Caenorhabditis elegans: one gene and its partners. The protein of the gene in region 3 interacts with the protein of the main gene of each other region in a pairwise test. Each region holds a gene or a part of one and is shown on either strand. Other genes may lie near its edges.

Region 1 (4,069 bases), on a different chromosome or scaffold from region 3:
TAAAGCGACAGACAGGTCGCATTGATCAAAGAGAATATAAGTCGAACTCTTTCGTTTGGTAACTTGAGGGCCAATGTTATTTGCTATTAGGGAAAATTAACATTTAAGGAGCAAAGGATTGCAAACAAAATGCGATAAGATATATGATTATAGTATTTTATCTTTTGTAAGTGTTGCCATAATTTCAGTAACGAAAAAAATAACAAGGCAATTTTAGATGTTAGGAAAATCGAATTTGTCTGACTAGCCAACGAATGTTCTCAATTGAAGTTATTGTTCTTTTTTAAGATGTTTTCATACAAATTAGTCAGTTTTCGAAGCTTCAGCCACACTTATCCGAATTGAGCAATTTCAAAACTATTTTTTGTAAAATAAAATACATCTCCGAAAATTTACATCGAGTTCCCAACAATACTGTATGGATAGAAAATACCTACCAATACTGCACATGAAACGCTCTGAAAATAATCGGAAAGGAAATGAGAACCTTTTAAATATAAAATGAGCACAATAAGTAATACTAACTTTATTGAGAAAGAACATAATTGTTATGAGAATAGTTTTTAAATGAGGTGAGAAACAGAATATCCCTGAGAATAAGTGAAGATACTTGAAAATTTGTGAAATAGTAATAAGTAAAATGTTTTCACATTAGTATAAACAATGACAGAGTCACGCAAAAGTACGGGAAACATATGAAGTTTATAATACAGTGCAGTACAGAAAAGGTACAAAGTTTACAAGAATACAATTGTTTTTTAAAAATAATTTTTTGTTGAAGGCTTAAGGTAATACGATTAAAGAGCTACTTTCTTCCAATACGAAGTTGAATTTAAAATTTAAAAGGAAAAAAGGAAAAAAATTAAAAAGCATATGAAAAATCGGGGCGCATTTTTAGTGCAAAAAATTAGATGGCATTTATTTTATCCCATCCATCTGAATCTTCACTGTGTGTGGATTTATTGTCGTCATCTTGATCGATCATTGTATCATCAGCTTCTCCTTCTTGATTGATAAGAAGACCTTGCAGTTTTTCCGAAAGTTCCGAAATCTTCAAATCCTTCTCTCTCAATGCATCATGCATCTTCTGAATTTCAGCGGATCGTTCGCTATTTTGAATAAGTTCCATCAGACACTCAATTTTGCTATCTTTTTCCATGATTTCTCTTTTATGATTTGCAATCTGTTCTTCTTTTGATTCACATTCTCTCTTTGAATTGGCTGAAATAAAAGAAAATGCTTACAGATGTGTGTAAAACCCCTAGAAAACTTTCACAAGCTTACCTGTCAATACTTCAAATTGCCCCAATAAGTTGTGCTTCCACTCTTCAGTTCGAAGTTTAAGATCTTCAACTGATGTATTAAGCGTGGCTTTTTCCTGCTGAGTGTTTGCAAGTTGCATCTCTAACGCCATGACGGTCGAGTTATGTTGATCCAAAATATGACTGATGTCTTGTCCCACATGTTTTTGGCGTTCTTCTGAAAATTATAGATGGTAATTTTTAATTAATACTTTAATATATAATAGAACAGCTCGTTTTTTCAATCAACTTCATCTGTTTTCTAACCAATGTTGGCCAACTTTCAGTAAAACAATAGCTTACCTTCAAGATCGGATTCCAATTTAGCAATTCTATCTTCCGCTCTTTTGGCACGTCTACACATCTTTCCTGTATTCATATCCGCTGAGCACAGTTCTTTTCTCAACGTACGAATCTTTGCCTTCTTTCTCTCAACATCACCATCGATCTGTTTACGAAGATTCGAAATTGTTTTGTTTTTTCCAAATATTTCTTCTGAATGAATATTTTCCATTTCTTCCTTCTGTTGAATCAACATGCGGCTCTCTTCCTTACACCTCTCAATTTCTTCTGATTGCTTTTTGAGTAACTCCTCCTGATTTTTGATAGTTGCCCGAAGCTCACTACCACATTCTCCAGGTTCCAAAAGTTGCTGCTCAAGTTGAATAATTCGTGCTTCACTCTCTCGAAAATCTTTTTGAAGAATCTCCGTATGTAGAGAGCATTGCTCAATAAGCTTATCTCTCATCACCAATTGTTCCAAAGTTTCCCATTGTTTCTTTTCCAATTGATCGATGTCGATTTTCGCTTGTGCCAATTCAGCTTTCAGGTTGTCCATCATACTTTCCAGTCCAAGTTACTAAAATATCAATTTAGACTCCATGTATTGAGGTAATAAAAAAGGTATTTGAAAAGGTGTAAAACCTTCCAAAAATCACAAGAAGTATTTGAAAAAAATGTAAAAATTTTATAACGACGAGGTTGAAAAAAACACTGAAAAATCAAGTAAAGCCCTGAGAGGAAATAGGTCGAAATGGAATTTTAGAATTATTGAGGAAAAGATTCAAGAATATGATATACAACTTACACGAAGAATTTACAATTTTGAAGAACAAAGGAAAATGAATAAAAATGCAAAATAGTTAATTTGAATATTAAAATAAATAGAATTTGACAGAAAAAATTCAGAAAATTGAAATTACGAATTAAAAAAGCTTAAGCATCGCTCATATGATCCCATCCATCTGATTCTTCACTTTTCAATGATCTACTGCACGAGCCCAAGTTAAACAAAGCCTGAAAATTCGGTTTTCCCACTTTGTCCAGGTCTTCAAAATAGAATTTCAAAACAACAAATCAACGAAAATTCGAGAAAAAAAATTAAAAACTCATTATGTATTAATTGAGAAAAAAAAGGAAAAACAAAAACGAAACAAGATGAAAATTAGATACCAGAGCTTGCTACTTACAAAATAAACAAAAATATTTACATACATGTTGCATCACTAATAAAATGAACTTAACGTATCAGTTAGAACATGGAAAAATGGAAATCAAATGTCATTCATCAGATCCCAACTATTAGATGCTTGACTCTTTGAAGATTATCCGTCAGAATCCCCATCGTATTCGAATTGCTGCAAATCCTCCACTTTTGTTTCTTTGTCCCGATTAATCAGAAGTCCTTGAAGTTGCTCGGTAAGTTTCGAAATTTGCTCATCTTTCTCTTTCAGAGCTTTTTGCATTTTCTGAATTTCTTCATTTTTCAGACAATTCTTCATGCTTGCGATAGGATACGAGGAAGAAGCTAAAACAATTTCTTCAGAGTTAATCAGATATTATTAAAACAAAAAAGCTCACCTTCCAACTCTTCTGAAGAAATAACTCTTCTCTTTTTAGTTCCACTAGAACTATGGGAGTTGGTTTCCATTGCATTATCTTTACTGCTCGCTTTTCCTCTATTTTCTGAGTGGTAGATTAATTCGATGTCAGGATCCCTCTGTTTCATGAATTGAGATGATAAACTTTGTGATTTTTCTGAAAATATAAAAACATACTTTTCTGTTCTTGCATTTTTCCGGTAAACATGTTCATAAAAATTTCTTACCATTTCGAGACTGTGCTTCTCTCAAGCTATTTTCTCTTCTCTCGAGCTCTTTTCTCAATCTTAAAATTTCTTGGTTCTCATGCTTTCAATATACTTTTCAAGCTTCAAAATTCTCTCATCTTTTTCATTCATCAGTATCTTATTCTCTGTTGTAAGCTTCTGGATCTTCCACGTTTCAGATTGTTTCTGAGCTTCAAGACTTTCCTTCAAAATGTCAATTTCACTATCTCTAGCAGGCGATGAACGAAGTTTCAAAATTTCTTTCTGAAGCATTGAACATAGTTCATTTTGATTTGGAAGTTGCTCCAGATAATTCAGCCGTTCATCTTTTTCTGCCAATTTTTTCTCGAGATCTTCGATTCGCTGAGTAAGCTTCAGATGATGCGCTTCCTTAAGTTTGAGCTGATCCTTTGCATTTCTGTAGTTTTCTTCGAGTTTTTTAGTCTTCAATTTATTATTTTCAAAAATCATCTCAATTTGATCATTTGCCTGCCAGAGTTCAGTTTTCAAGCGCTCATGTGCATTTGCAGACTTTTGAAAATCCTGAAATATAGTATTTTAATGAGTAAAGAGCTTATTTTTAAACCTTTAGTATCTTGAACGGATTATCACTGTCAAGAAAACCACTTCCAGGAAAAGCACCAGAGATATATTTTATCAA
Region 2 (7,912 bases), on a different chromosome or scaffold from region 3:
AAATCAACAAGTTGAAGTTTAGAGCCGAAAAAAAATCAAAATTGGAATTTTTCACGAATGGCGCAGTGGGTAACACGGATGGTTACCACCCAGAAGGTCACAGGTTCGACCCCCCGTTGGGGTCAATTTTTTTTCTTGTTAAATTTGCTAGGATTCATCAATTTAAATGTCATAGAACACAGCTTAACTTTTAAATACAGATTTTCAACTCTAATTTGTTAAATATCAGTCTAAAATCCATAGTTTCCTAACTGAAAAAATAAAAATAACATATAAACCTAAAGTTTTAAGGTCAGAGCAAAAAAAAAGTCAAAATCCCAATTTTGCACGAATGGCGCAGTGGGTAACACAGATGACTACCACCCAGAAGGTCACGGGTTCGACCCCCTGCTAGGGTCAATATTTTTCTTTTTCACTCATACCAAACAATTTTAAAGCATAGTCTATTTGTTGGTTACGGTAGATGCCGATTCGTCCAAATAAAACGGGCAATTTACGATTTTGTTGATGATAAGATCGATGAGAGACGCAGAGACGGCGGCTGGCTACTCGCAAATTAGTAGTGACCGATATGCGGGGGAAAACTGATGATATCAGCTGATAAGGACATCCGGACACACAGAGCAGTTTTGGACTCAATTTGGGCCATGTATGGCATAGAGCCAATAGCGGTGACCAATTTTCCCTAATTTTTTGTGAGTTGTAACTTAAAAATTCAGATTCTCCGTGAAATTTGGATAGTTTTAACACCCATATTGGCTAGGTTTGAGCAACTTAAATATTTGGGCCGAAATAGGCTGAAATGAACCGAATTCAGGCCTAATATAGGCATGTTCCAAGTCATGATAGTTTTTAACTGCGTTGTCTTTAGCTTTAGAGTTTAAAAAAAATTTTGACTCTAGCGGGGGGTCGAACCCGTGGCCTTCTGGGTCATAGCCATCCCTGTTACCGACTGCGCCACTTGGTCGAAATTTTATTTTTTATCTTTTATTGCCAGAAGAATTATTTTAGGGCATTTTTCAAAGTTTCTGGCGTCAAAATATTGAAATTTTGGGTCGAACTATCCAAAAAACCGGTAAAATTCGAAAAACCCTTTGACAGATTCAAGATCTTAGTAAAAACTGCAAAATGTTACTTGCACACTTTCAAAAAATAATTAAATGTGTGAAACGCAATTGAAAAAAAAATGGCTACGCTGGGGGTCGAACCCGTGACCTTCTGGGTGCCAGCCATCTCTGTGACCTACTGCGCCATTTGAGCAAAAATTTTATTTTCCAACTTTTTTGTGTAATAACTCAAAATTCACGGTTAAAAGCGAATTTTATCGCAAAATCTGCCAATTTTTGTTCCGCAAGTCGTTGTTTTTCAAATTTCCACTGAGTTTTCCTTGTTTACCCCCCTTTCCCCTATGCCCCCTAGGTTCCCCGGGTAATCATTTGTTATCAGCGAGGTCTGCTATACATTTCCCTATTATTTCCGTCTCCAGCTTCTTTCTTCCTCTGCAAACTCTCGAAGCTTCTGCCCCAGTCGGTTACTATGGCAACCCCCTTCTTTAAGCTTCACCCCCTTCGTCCCGCTTAGACCCTTTATTCTCGATTTCCCGCATTTTATTATGTTTTTACTGAAATTTTTAGGTTTTAGGTATTAGAAATAGGTTGGTTAAAAAGTTTTGGAAAAGTTTAGTGAGTTTTGGAAATTTTTAGAATTTTTTAGAGCTAATTTTCGATTTTCCTGGAAATTATGTCCGATTTTGCGGTTTTTTGCAAATTTTTTGACCAAAACCTTGAAAAAAATGATTTTTTGTTAGTTAAAATTAGTTTTAGAAACGTTTTTTGAAAAATTTTTTTTTGGCATTTTTTCGAAAAAAAATGTTTTTTTCAAAAACAAAAAAAATTTTCCAGATTTCTCGTGTATGTCAGACGATGAGTGGGGAGATTTATTAGATGTGCGTTTTCAGCATATTTTCAAAAAAAAATTCGATATTTTATTCAGAATTTAGACACCGAACCACCCCAGCCAGCACCACCACCTCCCCCCAATTTGCCGGGAAATTCGAAAAATTCGCGGCCGAAAAGTAGTGGACTAGATTTTTTATTGGACTCTGACTTGGATAAGGTGATTTTGTGACTTCTTTTTGGGAAAAAACTGCGAAAAATCCAAAAAAAAAAGGCTTTTGGCCTATTTTGGCCTGAATTTTGGATGATGCTATAAGACTGATTTTCAGGAACCGCAGGCACCTAAAACTGTAAATTTTGCAACAAACCGGGAAGAAAATACATCTGAAATGAGAGCGGTAAGTTTAAAAAAAAAAATGTTTTTTGAAAATTTTTTTATTTTTTTTCTTGACCCAAATTTTTCTAAAAATCTGTATTTCAACGTTTTTATCTTACCTTAAGCTTTAAAATGACACCCATATCGCCTATACCCCGTTAATTTTCATTTTTGGATCAACTTTTGGGTGCCTACAGTATCCTCGTGGCGGGACCCTAAACATCAAAATTACGGGATTCTAAGCAATATTGGGGTTATTTGAAAGCTGGTAATATCATAAATGGCCTATCGAAGAGTAACATTCCAAAAATAAGACATTTTTCAAAAAAAAAATTTTTTTCAAAATTTCGAAAAAAAATTATTTTTCAAAATTTCCTAAATTCAGGCTGGTCGTTCTACAAATGCTCTCAGCGACCTATTTGGCACAAGCACGGGCTCTGGGCTTGGAGCATCAGGTGCGGCGTCGGCTCCACGGAGACCCGCAGGCGCCTCCACCCTCGACGACCTTTTTGGCACGGCGCCAAGAGCTGCTACAGTAACCCCAGGGGTTACTGTAGCCGCTCCGGCGGCTTCACAGCCAACGGCTACTGCTCCACCACCGGATAATTTTGATGCGGGAAGGATTTTGAGGTAAATTTGAAATTTTCGAAAAAAATTTTTTTTTCAAAAATTCAAAAAAAACTTAATTTTTAATTTTTGTTAATTTTCGTTACTTTATCACTTTCAGCTCACTGAGAGCTTTAAAATGACACCCATATCGGCTATACTACCCTAATTTTTCAAAATTTGGGCATTCTTCGAGTACCTACAGTACCCTTCGTAGCGGGACCCAAAAATCGGAAATTAGAGGACTATGGGCATAATGGATGTTATTTTGAAGCTAAAAAGCTGAAAAATGAGATAAATCAAACAAAAATTATCTGAAATCGATAATTTTGAGAAAATTTCAAAATTTAACGTTTTCGAAAAACACATTTTTTGAATTTTTTTCAAAAATTCGAAAAATTTCAAATTCAAATTTTTGTTCGTTTTTTGATATTTTATCGCCTTCAGCTCTCTGAGAGCTTCAAAATAACACCCATATCGGCTAGTTTCCGTCATTTTTCAAAATTTTAGAATATTTCGGGTGCCTACAGTACCACTCGTGGAGGGACCCAAAATCCAAAAACTAGAGGGTTCTGAGCATTATTGGGGTTATTTTGGAGCTGAAAACGTGAAAAATCGATCAAAAATAAATACTTTAATCATAAATCAATAAATATTGAGAAAATTTTGAAATTAAAAATTTTCGAAAAAAAAAATTTTTTGAAATTTTTTTTTCAAAAATTCAAAAAAAAATTTTAATTTTTAATTTTTTTAAATTTTGGCTATTTTATCACCTTCAGCTCACTGGGAGCTTCAAAATGACACCCATATCGGCTATACTACCCTAATTGTTCAAAATTTGGGCATTATTCGGGTACTACAGTACCCCTCGTGGCGGGACCCAAAATCCAAAAATTAGAGGATTATGGGCATAATTGGTGTTTTTGATGCTGAAAAATAGAGAAATCAATAAAGTCGATAGGAAATCAGCTTTAAAAAAACTTTCTTTGAAATTTTTTTTTCAAAAATTCAAAAAAAGTTATTTTTTAATTTTTGGTAATTTTGTTTTTTTTTCAGTATTTTATCACCTTCAGCTCACTGAGAGCTTCAAAATAACACCCATATCGGCTAGGTTCCGTCGTTTTTTTTTTAAATAAGAGCATAATGGATGTTTTTTTAGGCTAAAAAATGAAAAAATCGATAAAATCGATAGGAAATCAGCTAAAATCGGTAATTTTGAAAAAATTTTGAAATTCAAAATTTTTGGAAAATTTTTTTTTTAATTTTATATCAAAAATCAAATTCTGGAACAAATTTCTCAATTTTTTTCAAATTTCAGACTAGAAGCCGAGCTAGAACGTGTAAACCGTGAGCTTGAAGACACAAAACGCAAGAAACGAGAAGACGAGGAAGATTTGGAGAATTTCTGGAAAACCAAGCTGGAAATCCAGTCAAAAGACTCGGAAAAGGCACTGGAAGACTCAAAAACTGCACAAAGAGCACAAATTTCAAAGCTTCAAGATGAGCATCACGTGGAGCTCGAAAGGCTTAAAGCCAATTACGATAGGCAGCTAGAGAATGTGACGTCATCGACGAGTCAGGTTGGGGATCTAGTGGCAGTGGTGGGGAAAGTGGATACAATTTCTACGAATATTGATAAAATTGCGGCGGATGTGGTGTAAGTTGACTATGTGCCTTTAAAATTGAAAAATATTAAAAAATCGGTTTAAAAAATTTTAAAAATCGAAAAATTCGCCCCAAAACTTCAAAATTTTAAAATTTTGAGCAGATTTTCTGATTCTCCGTGCAAAATTACCCCTAACCCTCAATTTTCAGATTCAGATTTTTTGTGCAACTTTGCGTCAAATCCGGTGTCTTGAGTTACTGTACCTCGGTGTTTGCGTACCTGACACCTGATTTTACGGAATTTTGAGTTAGAGCTCTGAAAAATTAGGGAAAGAGGTAGTTTGGCATGGGTAATCTGGAAAATTATATAAAAATTTCAGGAAGTTTTTGGAAAACGCTGAAATTTTAGTAAAATCCAAAAAAGGTCAAAAATTCACAAACCAAGTGCGCAAACTTGGCCCAAAATTCAAAATGTTTGAATTTTGAGCTCATTTTCTGATTCTCCGTGCAAAACCACTCCTAGGCCTCAATTTTCAGATTTTTAGTGCAACTTTGCGTCAAATTTGGTGTGTTGGTACCTTCAGTAGTACCTTGGTGTTTGCGGACTGGACACCTGATTTTACGGAATTTTTGAAATTTTCGGGATAGGGGTAACTTGGCATGGGGAATCTGAAAATTCACACAAAAATTTATGAAACTTGAAAAAAAATCTTGAAATTTTAGAAAAAACAATTCAAAAATTAAAAAATTCGGGCCAAATCTTGGCCCAAACTTTGAAATTTTGAGCAGATTTTCTGATTATCCGTGCGAAGTTACCCCTAATCCTCCATTTTCAGATTTTTAGTGCAACTTTGCGTGAAATTCGGTGTCTTGGGTTACTGTACCTTGGTGTTTGCGGACCTGACACCTGATTTTACGGAATTTGGAGCTAGAGCTCTGAAAAACTAGGTCTAGGGTAGTTTTGGATGGGGAATCTGAAAATAGACATGAAAATTTCTGAAAATTTACAGAATCCTCTAAAAATCCTGAAAAAGTTGAAAAATCATGATTTACGCAAAACAGTCCTTAAAAATTTGTTTTTTTTCAAATTTTTCCTTCAGAGCTATTGATTCTGGTGCTAAAAACAAATTACAAGTATTGATTTTCCAGAGCAAGCACCAATAAAGTGAGCTCGGAGCAAAGCGCTCTTTTCCACTTGCAAGAGGAACTGCTGAAAATTCGAGAGACAAAGTGAGTCATATCTCAGTAGCCAAGCTTGCTATCAAAAAATTGTCAACTAACAACTTGTAGCTCTTGTTACGGAGCACATTTTGTCAGTTGAAAATTTTTCGATAGCTCTGCGGGTTCTCAAGTTATGAAGCTTCAGGCTCTCCGAGGATGTGGCGGCTCTGAAGCTTGAGCAACTGAAAGTTCATGAGCTTAACCTAAGCTTGAAGGATTTGGTCAAAAATCAACAGGATGAAAATGAACAAGTATGTAATTAGAGTACAATGTTTAAAATGTATTGGAAAGTTTTGAAATTTTTGAAATTTTTTTTTTAATTTTCAAAAAAAATTTTGAAAAATTTTTTTAAAAATTTTTTCTGAAAATTTCCAAAAATTCAAGGAAAAATGGAGGACAAAAGAGGAGTGGAACCGTCTGAAAATTGAACGTCAAATTTTCAAGGAAAATCAAGACCGAGTCATTGAAAATGTGCAGAGAGAGAAGCTGGACCTGGCTAATAAATTGGTATGCTCCCCCCTCAAAATTTTTGGAATTTTTATAAAATACGCTCAAACATTTCAGAAATTCTACCACAAAGATCAAACCGAGCTGCTTTTCCGGCTGAGCAGTGAACGGGAGCTTTTGGAGCAGGAGAAGAGCGAATTCTTTGCGTAAGTTGGGTTATCAACAGAGCTACGGGGAAATCTAAACTAGTAAAGCGCAAAATTTTGAACATTTTCTTAGTTGGAAATTTTTCGCTAGCTATCACCGTTGCAGAGATACACCGCTTCAAAGTCTGCGCGCGAAATAGTGTGGGGGAGGAGAGACGCAGGCGCGCACCCTGCGTCTCTCCCCCCTCCACACTGTCTCGTCGCTGTAACTTTAAAGGCGCATAACTCTTCAGCCGGTAGAGATATCAAAAAATTTTCAACTGCAAAAATAATCAGCGTGAAATTCTGCGTCGGGTGAGCTATTCTATAAAAATTTTTCGACTGCCGGGTGGCTCAGTTGGGTAGAGAGATGGCTATCACGCACAGGTCCCTGGTTCGATTCCTTGTATAATATTGATGAGAATTATACGTTTTTTTTTCTAGAAAACGGGACCAGGACATCAAGAGAATCAAAGCAGAAGCCTACGAGCTGGATCTGAAATCTCAGCAAATTTCTACGGCTGACCAACATGTGACGGAGATGAAGCTGGTGACAGAGGCCAAGTACAGACAGGTTGGTTGTAAATTTATCGATTTTTTGAAAAATTATCGATCTTTTGGAAAAATTATCGATTTTTTGAGAAAGATCGATTTTTCGGAAAAATATCATTTTTTTGGAAAATGTATCGATTTTTAGGAGTTTTATCTATTTTTTGAAAAATTTATCGATTTTTTGGAAAATGTATCGATTTTTAGGAATTTTATCGATTTTTTGAGAAATTTATCGATTTTTTGAGAAATTTATCGATTTTTTGGAAAATGTATCGATTTTTCCCAATTTTCCCACTTTAAAAATCCCCAAAATTCCTTCAGCTTCAACACCTCGAGACCCTGCTCACCGCCGAATGCTCGGAAATCGAAAGAATCCGAAATGAGCAAAAAATCGGTGGAAACGTGGATTCGGGCCGGGACGCACGAAGAATAAGCCGTGAGGAGGAGCTGTTTGGTTCGAATAATTCCAATCAAAATAGTCATCGACATCGATCGGAAAGTGTTCGGGCTTCACTCAAAAAACACTATGAAAATTTGGAAAAATACGCCGGGCAGAAGGTTGCTCATGTTGCGCCGCAGAATAATTGAGTGATTATCGAGTTTTTGGTGGAAATATCGATTTTTTAAAGAATTATTGATTTTTGATTTTTTACGACTACAATTGTGATAAAAAATGTAGAATATTGTAATGTTTTGAAATAATAAATTTATTATCGATTTTTTTTAAATTTCGATGGATTTATCGATTTTTTGGTGAAAATATTGATTTTTTTAAGAATTATCGATTTTCGGCATTTTTATAACTAAAATTGTGAATTAGTACATTTTCAGTCAATTTTTGGCGGGAAATTCAAAAATTCAAATTTTCAATTAATTTTTGGCGGGAAATTCAAATTTTCAGTCAATTTTTGGCGGGAAATTTGAAAATTCAAAGTTTCAATTAATTTTTGGCGGGAAATTCAAATTTTCAGTCAATTTTTGGCGGGAAATTTAAAATTTCAATCAATTTTTGGCGGGAAATTCAA
Region 3 (3,881 bases):
CAAATAAAAACTGAGTCAGTCTCAGTATGATATTTATATGAAATAAGTGAGAAGATGAAGAGAAAAAGACTTTCAGTCGATCGGACAGGTACACGCCCACTTAATTCATGGGTTGATGAACGGGGGAAGAAGCATCGATAAACAGAAAAAGGTGTGTGGGAGGAGGAGGCATGGATGAATAATGAAGGCTGAGAAAAAAAACTGAAGAATGAAGAAAATAATTACAGTGCTCAAAAATGAAAACTAAAAATCAGATAATGTCGTCAGCAAAGTTTCGTCAATGGGAGTTTGGTCTTGAAATATGCTTGTTAAATTAATTTTTTAAAATTTTCTCTTTTAGTTATGAATTTTCCTTAAAATTGTTAGTGGGGTTACACAGTAATGCGCCCTATTCACTTCAACTCAAAATTGGACAGAGATGCATTTTCAAATGTTTGTTGTTGGTTTTTATTGAAAAGAAAAATAGAAAAACTGTACATATTTAAACATGGAAAGCGAAAAAAAAAAAACAGAATTTTACATTAAAAATAAGAATCGGGGACTAATAGAATATCATTAGGCAAAACTCTGTCACAAATGAAAATTAAAATTGACGAATTTTGGATTGAAGCATAGGAGAGATGGTAGGAGAACGATATACTCGGGTACAATCTAAGTTTCCTCTTTTGTCATATACATGCAAATCTCCATGTTTCAGATAATATTCTGTACGTGATAGTTCTTGGCCTTCGTTCTTTACCAATCTAATCAAAGTTCTTCCAGAAATGAAATATTCCATTGAATGATGTTTTCCAATAATCTCCTTTCTTCCTAGATTCAAGAACTGATTATTATAGTTCTTTCCATCCAATGTTGTCTTCAAAGTCATCTCTTCCGACTCAAAATCATGGTCAAAATTTGGAACTCCACGAACAAAAAGTTCTTCTTCGAAAGTATTCTCCCATTCCATTCCACGAATAAATTCTTGAACTCCTTCGAAAAATGAATGATCAGGTATCCATTCTCTACGAAGTGCCAACTCAATTGGTTCAATTTCAGACAGAATATAGAATCTTGCAGAATCAACGAATCGGCGGCTTGGTCTTTTGTCTCGTCCTGTACGTTGAATTTCAGACATGTAATCATGAACTTTCTGTTGGAACTCTTCAGAAGACATTTGGTCGATGTTAGAACCAATTGATTTTGATTGCTGGGAGTTTGGATTCTGTAAATATTTAAAGGGATAATTAAACAAATCTTACAAAATTCTAATATATCCTTGAAACTCACATTTATTCCCCATAAAAATGTGGAGACGTCCGCCATTAAGAGACATGACATGCCTAATGAAAAAAAGGCAACGGCGAAAATTTCTTTTGCAAGAACTATATGGGAATCTTTAGAGTTTCTTCTTTTCTTTACCTTCTCGTTATTCACAACCTGAAAAGTGTACATCTTACTGTCCTATAGAATTTTAATACTTTTAATAAAAAGTCAACTCACCACTGCATCAGTTGTCTCATTTTGCTTGAGCTCCGAAGTTTTTGATCCTCTTTTTTTGATTTGTCCAGTTTCGGAAACAAATTCAAAGGTTGATTCCCAGTCCGAGTCCATGGCTCTAAAATTTACATTTTATTGAAGTGATAAATACTTTAAGAAGAAAACTCAAAGGAAACATTAGATATGGAGCACAATCTTTCAATCGGTTGTGTTCATTAGTATTTCTTGCATTGTCTTCGTATCTTCACTTTTAACACTATTTCTTCAAAAAGGAACACCCAGTATGTGTAATCTCTTGAAGGCAACGTGACCTCTAACTAGAGGGCTCGCAATGCGCGCACGAATATCGATTTCTCTTGAAGAGGTTGTGCAGGAGAAGGAAAAAGAGATGAAGCAGTAGACAGAATGAGGTGTCAATATGCATCACGAGACATTTAACAATAAATTCAACTACAACGTGAGATTATTTATAGTTCTGTACATCCGTTCAAGAATGTAAACTATACAAAGTGGACTAACTAAAGGGACTGTAAAATATGTAATTGCACAAATTTATTAAAGTTGAAACTGAAACAGTATGGGTTTTTAAAAATAACTAGAGGTTTCGGTTTTGATTAGTTGATGACATACAAAACCATGTAAGAATATATTTTACTAAAGCTCTCACTAAAATATGAAACTATTATAAATCAACCTCGTGACAAAGTATAATCTTTTGAACTTCATGTTTTTGATTTTACATACATTTTCTCTACCAGAAACATATGAACACATACAACATACATTCCCCAGGATTTTATTATTTCAAGAACGCACGATTCTTGAAATGTGTGAGAGAGAGAGCAGAAAGGTCCGCCTATTGTCCGATAATCCGATTTGTACAAAGAATCAATTCCAAAGTCGAGGTTACCAAGGTCAATTTTATTGAATAAAAGGAGAATCTAATGCTATGATTTTTCATAAATATGTTTACAATTCTTCTATATTTTCTTGTTCTCTTCTGGGTGACCAATGCGGCTGTTGTCACTCCATCTATTGAGAATCACAAAATGGAAAATGCTTCTGTAACGATATCGAAGGTTCCTATTTCTCATAGACCAAGAGGTTTCACAGCAGGTATAGTTTTGCTGATTTTGTGCAAATTGGAAAATTATCACAAAATTAAGTTTTTGAAGGTAGCGATTCCAAAAAGTTGGCTGTACAGAGGTTCAAACTTCTCATCTCTGATTTCTTGTCAGATGCGCAACTGTCCAAGGTATCTAGAACTATATTAGGAAATTTTTTTATAAGAACAAATATATTTAGAGTATTGATGTAGCTGCTGTTGGAATGCACAAAGGAAAGTCAATGGATGATATTTTAGATGGTAATTGTTTGCTAGTTCCATTAAGTTCTGGTTGACTTTGAATATATATTTTCAGATGTTTACACTCGTCTCCGCAGAACATTATCCACAAAACAAATAAGTGAGTTAGCAAAAGCTCAAAAAGGACTAGTCGAAGATCTTGATGAAAAATCAGCAAAGTTAGTGAAGGCAAGAGTTAAACGAATGATTGTCTACTCATTTGATCCGGCTGCTGAACAAATTCATAAATATGCAACACGTCCTTCAATGGCTTTTGCTCTAATTGCTGAAACAATCAATGAAAGATTTGTTGGATCAGTCAAGGATTTGATTCGTGACGTACTGACTCCAAAGGAATATGATATTTTCCGTAAACACTATCACCCGCATATCTTCAAATTGGACAATATTGGCAATAATACAGAAGCAGTCCGAACTACAACTCACGAAACATTTTGAAAGTTTACCTCTTGATTTCTTTTGAATGTTTTGTCTCACACAATAAAGAAAATTCTACCGTAGTAAAAGAAAGATTTTGCTTCAGTTTAAAACAAAAACCATAGGTTCCACCGAGATTTGAACTCGGGTCGCAGGATTCAAAGTCCTGAGTGCTAACCGCTACACCATGGAACCGATGGTTGCATCGTGTCCGAGGGCATAAACGTTTGCGGTGCACTTTTGAATGAAACAACTGTTGATACAGCGAGCGTTTCCGTCTGTTCGGGAATCTAATCGTTCTTTGAATGATCAGAATTTCATACACTTCTTGATAAGATTCGAGAAACTTCGAAACGTTAACTTTGCAATAATATCTTTATTTTAATGATTGTAAAATAAATTTTAAAACTTTTTCTGATTGTCAGTGGTGAGGAATGGAATGACGACGTCCGGTGAAATCATGACAGATTCGCGAGCTTCGGTCTATAAATTCAATTTATTTTCATTTTTCAATCTTTTAACAGTTTACCTTGAGTTTAAGAATTTCTGCGCTCCAATCAATTTTTCCGATTTCTCCAACAGCTTCTACGAACAATGTCTTGGCCTTTTCAACATTTGC

The links. Proteins that work in one complex are often made in the same cells at the same time.
Region 1: the proteins of B0228.1 (region 3) and F20C5.6 interact in a two-hybrid assay, tested with the Caenorhabditis elegans proteins (one large-scale study listed by BioGRID).
Region 2: the proteins of B0228.1 (region 3) and dyf-19 interact in a two-hybrid assay, tested with the Caenorhabditis elegans proteins (one large-scale study listed by BioGRID).

Annotation. Positions count from the first base shown.
Region 1 is NC_003282.8:8,771,047-8,775,115, forward strand, and holds F20C5.6 (ELKS/RAB6-interacting/CAST family member 2), read right to left. Parts: upstream 2,161-4,069; 5' UTR 2,143-2,160; coding exon 1,605-2,142; intron 1,480-1,604; coding exon 1,285-1,479; intron 1,222-1,284; coding exon 908-1,221; 3' UTR 514-907; downstream 1-513.
Region 2 is NC_003283.11:19,623,150-19,631,061, forward strand, and holds dyf-19 (Fas-binding factor 1 C-terminal domain-containing protein), read left to right. Parts: upstream 1-1,899; 5' UTR 1,900-1,912; coding exon 1,913-1,945; intron 1,946-1,992; coding exon 1,993-2,115; intron 2,116-2,224; coding exon 2,225-2,293; intron 2,294-2,656; coding exon 2,657-2,901; intron 2,902-4,195; coding exon 4,196-4,534; intron 4,535-4,737; exon of another isoform or gene 4,738-4,795; intron 4,796-5,631; coding exon 5,632-5,712; intron 5,713-5,848; coding exon 5,849-5,954; intron 5,955-6,087; coding exon 6,088-6,210; intron 6,211-6,267; coding exon 6,268-6,356; intron 6,357-6,678; exon of another isoform or gene 6,679-6,750; intron 6,751-6,779; coding exon 6,780-6,909; intron 6,910-7,208; coding exon 7,209-7,475; 3' UTR 7,476-7,612; downstream 7,613-7,912.
Region 3 is NC_003280.10:7,753,564-7,757,444, forward strand, and holds B0228.1 (uncharacterized protein), read left to right. Parts: upstream 1-1,779; 5' UTR 1,780-2,444; coding exon 2,445-2,595; intron 2,596-2,654; coding exon 2,655-2,734; intron 2,735-2,784; coding exon 2,785-2,845; intron 2,846-2,900; coding exon 2,901-3,283; 3' UTR 3,284-3,344; downstream 3,345-3,881. Other genes in the region: B0228.6 (uncharacterized protein), read right to left, coding at 584-1,204, 1,270-1,419, 1,483-1,593; B0228.7 (S-methyl-5'-thioadenosine phosphorylase), read right to left, coding at 3,665-3,745, 3,792-3,881.